Pelodiscus sinensis: one gene and its partners. The protein of the gene in region 3 interacts with the protein of the main gene of each other region in a pairwise test. Links are inferred from orthologs where the notes say so. Each region holds a gene or a part of one and is shown on either strand. Other genes may lie near its edges.

Evidence for each region.
Region 1: the proteins of SPRY2 (region 3) and ZDHHC17 interact in binary tests that used the Homo sapiens proteins (3 or more experiments, as listed by UniProt). The link is inferred for Pelodiscus sinensis from reciprocal best matches to the Homo sapiens genes SPRY2 and ZDHHC17.
Region 2: the proteins of SPRY2 (region 3) and HSD3B7 interact in binary tests that used the Homo sapiens proteins (3 or more experiments, as listed by UniProt). The two-hybrid records come from large-scale screens. The link is inferred for Pelodiscus sinensis from reciprocal best matches to the Homo sapiens genes SPRY2 and HSD3B7.

The regions. Positions count from the first base shown.
Region 1 is NC_134711.1:68,473,856-68,477,597, reverse strand, and holds the start of ZDHHC17 (palmitoyltransferase ZDHHC17), read right to left. Parts: upstream 2,293-3,742; 5' UTR 2,199-2,292; coding exon 2,136-2,198; intron 1-2,135. UniProt on the Homo sapiens protein: Palmitoyltransferase that catalyzes the addition of palmitate onto various protein substrates and is involved in a variety of cellular processes.
Region 2 is NC_134714.1:133,976,771-133,980,512, forward strand, and holds the start of HSD3B7 (3 beta-hydroxysteroid dehydrogenase type 7), read right to left. Parts: upstream 2,431-3,742; 5' UTR 2,416-2,430; coding exon 2,263-2,415; intron 1,456-2,262; exon of another isoform or gene 1,261-1,455; coding exon of another isoform or gene 1,114-1,260; intron 1-1,113. UniProt on the Homo sapiens protein: The 3-beta-HSD enzymatic system plays a crucial role in the biosynthesis of all classes of hormonal steroids. HSD VII is active against four 7-alpha-hydroxylated sterols. Does not metabolize several different C(19/21) steroids as substrates.
Region 3 is NC_134711.1:264,026,826-264,030,567, forward strand, and holds the start of SPRY2 (protein sprouty homolog 2), read left to right. Parts: upstream 1-1,207; 5' UTR 1,208-1,959; intron 1,960-2,522; exon of another isoform or gene 2,523-3,218; intron 3,219-3,285; exon of another isoform or gene 3,286-3,742.

The DNA of each region.
Region 1 (3,742 bases), about 200 Mb from region 3:
GAGTCCAGGAGCTATCCCCTGCGGCGGCTCTGCAGTTTAAATGTGGTAAGAGCCAGGCGTGCAAGTAGCCCAGCTCCTGGTACATTTGAACTGCAGAGGTACAGCAGGGATAGATTCTGGCCCTAGCACCAGCCGAGACTGAGCAAGCCCGGCTCAGCCCTAACACGCACCAGGTCCCGGATCTAACTGCGCTGCGCCTCTGCAGTTTAAATGTAGTAAGAGCTTGGCATGCTGGGACCCCCCCTCCCCACACACACACACAGGGGCTGTTGCTGGAGCAGTTTCTGCCCATGTTGGGCCTGGGCCTGGGCCTGCTGCAGGCAGAGGCTGCTCCACAACAGTATCCCCTCTTCCTTCTCCCTCACCTGCCATGCTGCTGCCTCTAGTAGAGGCAGCAGCATGGGAGGGGGAGGGTTGGGCAGCACCACGGAGACAGTGCTGGTGGGAACCAGCTTTTAAGTCAGCTCTCCCCAGCACCGCCTCCTACTTCCTCACCCCCTTTGCTGCCTCTGATATAGAGGCAGCAAGTGGGGGGGCAGGGAGTGAGTAGTCGAGTGGACTACTCCATAAGCCTAAGATTACTGGATAGTCAACTACTCACTCACATCCCTGACTTGCACTCCACCTAACCTGCCACCAAAGGACCTTTTGGCAGATCACTGTGTGATCTAGGCCCAGATTTTTTAAAGACATTTAAGCTTTGCAATGTCTGATTTGAGACCTTAGAGCTAATTTTAAATGAAATGTAGGCATTTAGCAGTATACTCCTATTGACTGAGTGGTTCCTACACGTCAAACTCCTGTACGAAAAGTATAAGAGCAAACAGTCACATTTAGCACTGTCACGTCTCTTTAGCTATTAATAAACCTAAAAGTATCTTTAAAATATTGGCATGGAAGAGTAATACCATCTGTTTGACTAAGTCTGCTAGCAATCACACCTACTTATTTTCATAGGCTTACAATATTAGATAAGAGTTCACATACAAAACTTTTGTTTATACTGTTTACAACATCCTCCAAAACCATCAGAGGGCATAAGGAGAATGTTTATAGAGAGTTGAGACAAAGACAAATAATCTGTTTTTGGATGGAACATTACTTAAAATGACCTCTAAATGCTATCAACTGACATTACTCCATAAACAACAAGTCCTGTGGCACCTTACAGACGAACAGATTTATTGGAGCATAAGTTTTCATAGGCAAAGACCCATTTGTCAGATGCAACTGACGAAAATGCATCTGACAAAGTGGGTCTTTGACCACAAAAGCTTATGCTCTAATAAATATGTTAATCTATAAGGTGCCAGGGGACTTCTAATTCTTTATGCAGATTCAGAATAACATGGCAACCCCTCTGATACTTGACATTACTCCAGCACTTGTCCACTATACTGGAAGGATGTGGGGGGAAGAGGTGGCAATGAGGAGTGAAGACACAAACAAACACAAGATGCCAGCAAGTCAGAATTGGACAGAGTCGGACCAGGCGCAGTTTCTTAGGGGTGAACTGAAGCTCAAGAACAGCAGACCGTGACGGGAATCATTTATTCCAAGTCTGAGCCGTTTGCCACCAGTAGCTTAGCCACCAGTAGCGAGCCCCGCGTTGGCACGGATGGTGCAGCTCCGCCAGGCAGTGAGCGATGCTCTACGGAGCCATGTGCATTGCGGAGTCTCCCACGGGGCCTTGCAGGGCTGTGCCCGCAGCGCGAGGCGCTCACCGGAGGAGCGGGCAGCGACGGGACGCTCTGACCCTGTCCCCTCAGTCACCCGGGCCGGGAGCAGACAAGCGCGCCGCTCGCGGGGCCTCTCGCCGCCCCGCACGCACTCGGGGGTGGGATCCCCGCGCTGCCCCCCGGCGGGGCGGACCCTCCCCCTGGGCGTCCCGAAGCGGCGACCGGGCGCTTCGCCCGGCAGAGCCCCGGGGCCAGGGAAGCTGCGGCCTCTTCCCTCAGCGCAGCCGCCCCCGCCCAGCCCGGCCCCCAGGCCAAGGCAGCCGCAGCCAGCGCCCTCCGCCCCCGCGGCCCCGCCACCCGCCCAGCAGCCGCCCAAGCCGGGGGCGGAGAACGGGCGGCGGCGGCGCGAGCCAGAGCGCGCCCGGCGGCGCGAGCCCAGCAGCGCGGCGGCCTCACCTCGGGGTGCAGGATGGGGACGCAGCCCGCTTCTTTCTCGTACTCATCCAGAGGCGCCGCCATCTTGGTGCGAGCCCGCCGCCCGCTGCATGCTGGGTAGCGCTCCCCCCGCGCTGGGCAGAGCGAGGGGGAGGCCCGGCGGGGATTAGGGGGCGGGGCAGCCGCAAGGGGGATGCTGCGCGGGAGGGGCCGGGACAGACTCACTGTCACGGGAGCGCAGTTGGTGACCCCGGCCTCGCACGCGCCCCCGCAAGCTCGGGACCCCGGGGGTGGGGGCTGCTGGGGAACGCGCCCCGCAAGGACCCGCCCGGTCCGCGCCCTGCGGCCCCCACCCCCGCCCCCGCAGCAGCGGGACTGAGCGGGAGGGGGACTCTCGCCTCGTGCGTGCAGGGTCTGGGGAGCCCAGCGGCAGGGGCACGAGCAGGGGCGCGGCCTGTGCCAGGGCAGGGCAGTGTCGCAGCGAATTAGATTGTGTCTATACTGCGAGGAGAGGTCGATTTAGGCAAGGTCGACTTACAGCCACCGGGGAGCCATGCGCAGTGCTGGAGTCAGTGGGCAGCGGGAAACTGACAAGAAAGACCATCCACAGTCACCCAATGGGACCGTGTGTACACAATCCGTGCATGCCCCACACTACAGCCACTTATGCCTCTGGCTGAGCTGGTTTTATTATAGCAGCGGAACAGAGAATTACATCCGCAGAAGGAGAATCTCAGTGCTGAGTCTAGACTGGCAAGTTTTTCCGCAAAAGCAGCCACTTTTATGGAAAAACTTGCCAGTTGTCTACACTGGCCGCTTGCATTTCCACAAGAACACTGACGATCTCATGTAAAATTGTCAGTGTTCTTGCGGAAATGTTATGCTGCTCCCTTTCGGGCAAAAGTCCTCTTACGCAAATGCTTTTGCGCAAGAGGGCCAGTGTAGACAACGCGGTATTGTTTTGCGCAAAAAAGCCCCGATCGTGAAAATGGCGATCGGGGCTTTTTTGCGCAAAACCGTGTCTAGATTGGCACGGACGCTTTTCCGCAAAAAGTGCTTTTGCACAGAAGCGTCTGTGCCAATCTAGACATTCTTTTCCGCAAATGCTTTTAATGGAAAAACTTTTCCGTTACAAGCATTTGCGGAAAATCATGCCAGTCTAGACGTAGCCAGTGTGTACTTCTCCACTGTTTTGCCCACAAAATAGTGTAGTATTAGAGTAATGTTCTAATACTTCCTCACAGCCTGATAGGGCTGAGGGATGGGGAAACAATTGTACAGTATTGCAGGCCTACACTTATGCCCCCGACCCCTCCCCCCTGACACACACACACACACACACACACACACACACACACACACACACACACACACACACACACACTTCCCCATTTTGTAGTCTCTGTGTAACTAAAACAAAATGAGAGTTGGAGCACAATGAATATGTAATACCAGGGCTTCAAATTTCTCTCTGGGGACTGGCAACCTGGTCAAACACCCAATATTGTAACTGGCATGCATGTTGGCATTCTCAGCATACCAACCAAGCACTGAAGAGGTGCAAGATGTTGACTTTCTCCTCTCAGCCTGAGGCAAGTTGACACTCATGTATGGTAGCTTGCACTACA
Region 2 (3,742 bases), on a different chromosome or scaffold from region 3:
CACAGCGCCCTCTAGCGCCTCCCTGGGGCACTGGGCCAGCCCTGCCTGCCAGGGGAGAGCACCCCCTGCTGGGGCCTGCCCTGCTCCCTGCCCCACAGCGCCCCCTAGTGCCACCCTGGGGCATTGGGCCAGCCATGACCACGATGCACTTATTGCCCCTGGTTAGCTCCCCACCCACAGTAGCTGATTTCCTAGGCTGGTGCCTCCTCGTGCTCCCTCCCCCTTCAGAGGCGAGTGTCCAAGGTGAAGCAGAGATAAGATGCGTGGGTCAGGCCTGGCCGTGAGATTAGAACCGGCTCTGCCCTTGACCCAAGGCCACCGCCCACTGCCATGTATGGCTGTCAGTCCTCCGGGAGAGAGAGAAAAACACCTCTGGCTTTGGGCACCCCTGCTCTAACCACTAGATCCCACGCCCCTTGCAGAGCTGGGACAGAACCCAGGAGTCCTGGCTCCCTACCCCGTCAGCCCCCCCCCCCAACCCACTGGACCTCACTCCACTCCCAGCACTGGGGAGAGAACCCAGGAGTCCTGGCTCCCACCCTCCTTCATTCAGACCCATGGGCCCAGCGGGTGCCCCACACCCATGTGCTGCCTGATCCCGGCAGAGGGATGCCCTGAAGCATGGGTGTGACCCCTCCCAGACCCAAGCCCAGCCTGGCTGGCAGGCGATGCTACCTCCGACTGTGCCGGTCCCTCCAGGGCGAGACGCTGCCCAATTCTGGGGGTCCCAGCCCCAGCGCAGGGGCCGGCCCAGGGCAAGATGGGTCTGGTGGGGGTGGCTGGGAGGGGGCAGGCTGCGGTGGAAGGGCAGGAAGGGGTTAACAGCAGGGATGGGAATGGAAAAACTTCTCCCGTGCTGAATCCGCTCCAGCTCCTGCACCCCAGAACCACGGGGGCCCAGCTGGGACCAGCCCCCGAGTCCTGGCCCCCTGCTCCCCCCAGCCCCCCCTGGAGCTCAGACCTCCTGAGTCCTGGCTCAGCCACCCCACCTGCCCCCCTCCCCTCTCGGAGCTCAGGCCGGACCCAGGAGTCCTGGAAGCGCCTGGCCGGGTGCCCCGCTGCAGGCCCAGGGGTCCCGCCGTGGCGCGGGAGGGGCCCGGGGATCCGCGTTACCTGCTCGGCCCGGGGCGGCTGCCCTCCGCTGTGTCCTGCCTCCTGCGCCATCCGCCGGGTCTGAGCCGCTCCATGCCCTGCAGCGCCTGACAGCCCCGGCCCCGCCCCGGCCCCGCCCCCCGGGGTCCTAGTGCCCCGGCAGACCATGGGGTCCCGGGTTCTCGCCCGGCTGGGGGGGGCCGGGGGGGGGACTGAGCGCCAGGACTCCTGGGCCCTCCCCCCAGCTCCGGGAAGGGAGATGGGGCGGGGACGCCTCAGTTGGCTTGGCCCGTCTCCCTGGCCTCTGACGGCCCTGGAGCTGAGCCAGCCTTCCCCGGCTGGGACAGGTGGGGGCAAAGGGACCTCAGGCTGGGGGGGACCTGCTTCCCCCCTCCCCCGCGCACCCCTCCCCACCGCCTGGGGCTGGAGTCGAACCCACCCCCTCCAGCAGGGCAGGTCCCCAGTGCCCCATCCCCCCCCCCCCCCCGCAGAAAGGCCCCTTGCACCTTGTCTGCTCCCTGACCCAAGCCATGTGGGGCGCGCAGGCTGGGGGGGGGGCGCCACCTAGGAGCCTGGGATCGGCCCCCCCCTCCACCTGCTTCAGCTACGTAACAGGCCGGGTCTTTTCCGCTAGGCAGACCCACTTCCCACTTCCCTGTTCCCAGCACCTCGCCGGCCCGGGGGGGGGGGGGCTGCTCCCCCCTCCTGCCCGCGACAGCCTGTGGGAATGCACCGAGCGCCCCCTGGCGGCCACGGGGAAGCAGCCCCGCCCCACGGGCTTGGAAAGCATTGGGGGGGGGGGGCGGGGGGAAGCAAGAGCTCGCTGCCCTGCAAGAACTGGGACAAGAACCCGAGTCCTGGCTCTCTCCCCCCCCCCCCCCAACTCCCCATCCCAGCCAGGGCTTCGTGAGGCCGGGACTGAAACACCCCTAGGGATGGAGACACCCCCCCCCGGGGAACCCAGCCCAGCGCTTCCCCACCCCCTAGGGAAAGTTGGTCCTAATCTCCCCCCCACACCTCCCCCAGTGCAAGGGGAGCCCATCGCTCCTCCCCCTGCCCCCCTGAGAACAGCCTCTCGGGACCCCCCTGCAGGGAGCTGGAGGCTGCTCTCGGATCCCCCCTCGCTCTGCTCTGCCGCAGCCTGAACAAGCCCCAATCCCTCAGCCTCACCTCGTAGGTCAAGTGCTCCAGCCCCTGCATCACTTCGGGCGCCCGCCGCAGGCCCCTCTCCAAGGCGCCCACGTCCTTTGTGCAGCGGGGGGCCCGGACCCGGACCCAACACTCCAGCTGTGGTCGCGCCGGAGCCCAAGAAAGGGGAATCATCACTTCTCTAGCTCTGCTTCCCACTCCCCCCTCCCCTCCCCGTGCAGGGAAAAGGAGGCTCTTCAGCGCTGGGTGCACTCATTTCAGGGGGGTTCACCCCCCCAATGCCCCCCAGCGCCACCGACACAGGGGTCTCTGAGCAGCTGCGGGTGGAGTCTTACCTCACCCGCCGGCACTGCTCCCCCACCGGAGGTGACGCAAGGAGAGTGTGACCAGACCCCCGGGTTCCTCTTTCACACCGACACTTTCACTTGCAAACAGCCCAGCTCCCCCACCCGCCCCAGCTCTGAGCCAGAGGCCCCTGTCCTGCTCCCCCCCCCCCAGGCAGCCAGCCCCCCATTCTTGGATCACCCCCCTAAAGGGGAAAGGCCCTGCGGCCCTGCTCAGAGCCAGTGCTCCCCTGCGCAGAAAGGACCCATAGCCCATTCCCCACTTCCAAGTCAGCCGGTTCCCCACCCAGTTGCCACTCACCTCTAGAAAGGCCCCAGCCCCATTCCGGCCCCCCGAGCCAGCCAGGCCCCTGCTGCAGGGCTGGATCAGAGCTGGCACTCCGCAGAGCAGGTGTGGCCAGTCATTTTTGACCAGAGGTCCCTTCAGAAAAGGATGAAGTGGCCCCCGGCTGCCCTGGAAAGGGTGGGGCCTCGGCCAAGACACTTCTCCACACAAAGACCCCGACTGGGCTGGGGGTGGGGGAGCATGCAAAGTCTCTGCCTCCCCCACCCCAGGAAAAACAACCAGCTGTTCAGAATAGCTGGCAGTTCCCTCTAAGTGCCCCTGGCAGCAGGAGGCGGCTTTGCGTGCTCCCGCCTGCTGGCCCCAGGTCAACACATGAGGTCTCATTCTCTGCCCCTGCCCTGCAAGGGAGCACCAGCTTAGAGTCACCCGCCCGCTGAGCAGCAGCCAAGCGCTGAGCCCCTTGCAGGGCGGGAGACTTTGCGTCCCTCCCCCCCAGGCCAATTAGGGCTTGGGGAGCACGACAAGTCTCCTCCACCATGCCAGGAGCAGCACCCATTGCAGGGCGGGGGGGGGGGGGGGGAGACGGAGGAGACTTTGCACTCCTCCCACAGGACCTGACTGGCCTGGGGCCCAGGGGAGCAGCCAGATCAACTTGCCTGGAACGCTGGATCAGGTCCACCCTGCCCTAGCGGGAAAACGCCCCAGTCCCCACCTGAGCCAGCCAGACCGGAGTTGAGATTGGAAACCAGCCAAGCCCACAGGCTGCGTCTGTGTCTCTCGCAGATGGCAGTGGGAGAGAGAAACGTGAAAACGTAAGACACACAACCACGGTAAGACCAAATATAAATAACCCGGTTGGGTGTCTGTATTT
Region 3 (3,742 bases):
CTTACATCATTTACACCCACGGGTGGGGAACCTGTTTTTGGGTCGTGGGCCACTGACCCACAGAAAAATCAGTCAGGGACCACACACAAGCGAGAAGCAAAAGGAAAAACCCTCAATGACTTGGCCCAAACTGTGAAGGAGAAAGACATTCCCCTCACACACCAGAGCCTAGGGGGCCCAGGCTAGTAGATTGTGTGTGCTACAGCCCCACCTGGAGACCGCAGGAGGACTGGAGTACCTGGGGGCCCCAATTCTGACCGTCACAGGGCTGATGGGGTCTATCCACACAGTCCTAGCAATGAGACTGGGCGTTCTCTTTCTCCCCCCCCCCCCCATCTGTTGTTGGGTTTTAGCACCTTATTATTATTATTACACCTTCGTGCAGCGTGCTGATCCCTGGACAGAAAACACAGAGTGCCACTCATTCCATTGTGTAGGGGACAAGCATGTCCTGAGCAGAGAGCTGCTGTCTCAGGTACACCGCGTTCCCCTTCCTATCGCGGCTGCTAATTTGAGGGAGGAGGGGGAGAAGGGGTGGCTACGGCTAGAACAAGGTGTCTGCTCATGTTTAACGCAGCAACCCGTACCCAAAGTCAGACATCCCGCGCCGACTGCACGAACGACTGTGCGAATGCGGGGGGACTGTTCAAACTTCTACTACAAAAAATACAACCGCGGAAAGTTTTCCATTTGCTTTTCAATCTCAACCCCAAAGGGTTTCACTTCAATCCAGGGTAACCAGCCCGCTCGCCCGAGGGTCCCACGCAGCCTTTTGTTTGGCCCGCCCGAGTGTCTCGCACGTACGAGGCGGTGTGTTCCTGTGCACGGAGGAGCCCCCTTAGCAAGCTCAGTGGCCCGGCGGCTCTGGGAGGGAGCTGCTGCGGCGCTAGGGAGCAGTGTGGGGAGGCCGGGCCGGCGGCGGCGGCTGCAGCAACAGCAGCCGCAGGAATAGCAATTGTAACAGTAATCGAGCAGCAGCCGCGCTGCTCGCAGTTGCAGGGCAAGCCGGCCGGCCGCCTCCCCCTCTGGCTCGCTCGGTGCCGTTGCCCTTTTGAATGCCTCCTGCGGCTCCGAGTGCTGGCAGGGCGCTGGGAGTGTGAGTGAATGTAGCCCCGCAGAGCCAATGAGCTGGGACCGGATGCGATATATCCTCTGGGACAACAACTGCTCTGTTCCTCCTCAGATCCACATGACGCCATTTACTGCTGCCTTTGCCGAGCGCTCACCCTGCCTCCTCCGGAAAGGAAAAGAGAGAGAGAGAGGGAGCGTGAGCGAGCAGAAAAACGCCAAGCCCCTGCCGCTCAGATCTCAAATCTGCCTCCTCCTCCTCCTCCCAACACACCACAACAGGCACCACCACAGACCCGCTGCGCTTCCAAAACACCCCCCTCCCCATTACAAACCCCAGCGCTGCCTGCAAGACTCACGCTCCCAGAGTGAGCGAGCGAGCAAGCTAGAGAGGGGCGCTTGCAGCCAGCAGCTGCCCTGCAGAACGGCTACATTGCACAGGCTGCTTTCCTGGAGGAGCCCAGTGGACGAAAGCTTTGGGATTTTCTTTTAGATCCACTTTATTTTGGTTGCTTTGGCTTTTCCTTTCCCGCCCGCCCCGTGATCATTTGCAACAACAAGGAAAGTGACTTGGTACTGGCGATTCGGCCTCCTGTCCATTGAGGAGGGGGAAAAAAAGAGGAAATAGCGAATGAGTGATTTCTTCTTTTTAGGGGCTAAGAAATACCCCTCCGACCTGGAGACATTTCCCAGAGGTTTATACTTATAATCGACCTGGGGACAGAGAGCTCACTTTGCTCTGGATTTTTGAGAGGATGGTGATGATGGACTAAAGCTGAGCTTGGAAAAGTTTTTTTGTTTGTTTTTGCTTTAGGCTGGATTTACTTGCAAGCTGCAGGAAGAAGAAAACACGAGAGAGAGCGAGGGGCTTGGTACAGTGCCGCGATCACGGTGAGAACATTTTCCTTCTTTGCAAAACAAGTCTTTTTTTTTAATAGTCCGAAGAGCTGGTGGAAATGTATGTTTAAGGCCGATCCCTTTTCAGTCCCTGAACCCGGCCCCTCACGCCCTTCCCCAGGATTTGGAAGTGGAATTTCAGCGAGATTTCTTTCTTAGGGAAGTTTGGCGGGGGGGAGGGAGCATGGGATAGTTTCTCAGGATTGATCACGTTTGTTTTCCCTCAAAATGATTTTGCAGGGAGGGGGCCCCCCAGCTCCGCGCCATTGGGGAGTGGGTGAGAGCTTAGGGGGCGGAAATCTGTGCTCAGGTTTGTGCATTTGCAGGGAGCAATGTCTGCGAAATATTGCAAGCACTGGAAGCAACTCGTGTGACTTCTTTGCATACTTATATTTTCTTACAATTACTGCAACATGCTCCTGTAAGGTGGAGACGGGGAAGTCCTGGTAAATCCTGGCTCAAAGCATTACATAGGGTTTTTTGGGGGGAGGGAGGGAACAGCATGATGGGGGGGATATTTTATAGACTTTAACCTGCTTGGTGACTTGCTATCTCTGTGTACATTAAAGGCTGGCATTATTCTGTAAGTGCATGGGGAGATTTGTGCAATTCGGAAGTGACCTCACGCCTGCTATAAATGTTTTCCATGCGATACAATTAAATAGATTGTCGATCTGACAGGGAGGAGATCCTCCCCAGGTTTCAATATATGGTGTGCAGGTATGAAGCAATATGAGAGGAGGCAGGGCAAAGAAAGGTTTAAAATTTACTTTGCAATAGCCTCTGCAAGCTGCTGGGGTTTGCAGCAAGCTATGTGTGTGTCAATTTGCCCCACCCCGATGGAGAAGTCCCTTTTGCCCTAATCCATAATCTGATCACACACTCAGCCCTTCATGGGGGTTTCAAAGCACTTTCAAAGAGGAGGAGGTGGTTGGTGCGTGTGCGGTGGGGGTGTGCTGCGAAGGCTTCCGACGCAAAACTGAAATTCATGGGCAGAGAACTTTTTCCCCCTTAGGCTTCCCTTCTTCTCCCAGCCAACACGACCTGGGTTTTTCCACAGCACACAGGGAGCACTTTGCGTTTTAAACTTCCCCAAGCGTGCAGAGGAGAAAAGCCAACCCCTTTCCCCAGTCCGAGTTAGCAAATCAGGGCATTTCTGCTCTGAGTGGACTTCGGCTTTTGCAAGTGGTGAATCGCGTTATCTCAAGGGGGGAAAAAAGGAGCAAATGTTTCTCTTGCTATGCTCTTATTCGGTAGGTGGAAAAAAAAAGAGGGTGGGTGGGAAGGAGGGGAGGGGAGCATTGAGATTAGACGGGAAAGTCTTGTTTCCCTGAAAGAACTACAGGCAAAACATACGTGAAAGGAGAGTCTCAGAATGTTAGTCTGTGTCCGCAAAAAGGCGTCCCGTGGCACCTTAAAAACTACCAGATTTATTGGGGCATAAGCTTTAGAGTGGTTTTTAACCATGAAATCTTACGCCCAGTCTTTAAGGTGCCACAGGGACTCCTCGTTGTTTTTGAAATAAGAGTCTTAAGTGCTGCAGGTCTGCATCTTGCCCTGTTAACGGATCTGTGCAGTGCAATAAAACTCAAGGGCTTGTTTGTTATGATACAAATACAGAGGGGGGCCACTTTGTAATCCCTCATCTGGGGATCTGGTTGAAATTTACGCAAATTGCATACAATAAGCAAAATAGTAGCTGCCCTGGCGAAGTTTCCTGCAGCTGACTCCCTCCAGTTGGAGCTGGTGCTTGAAGGGGAAACCTGCAATTTACTAA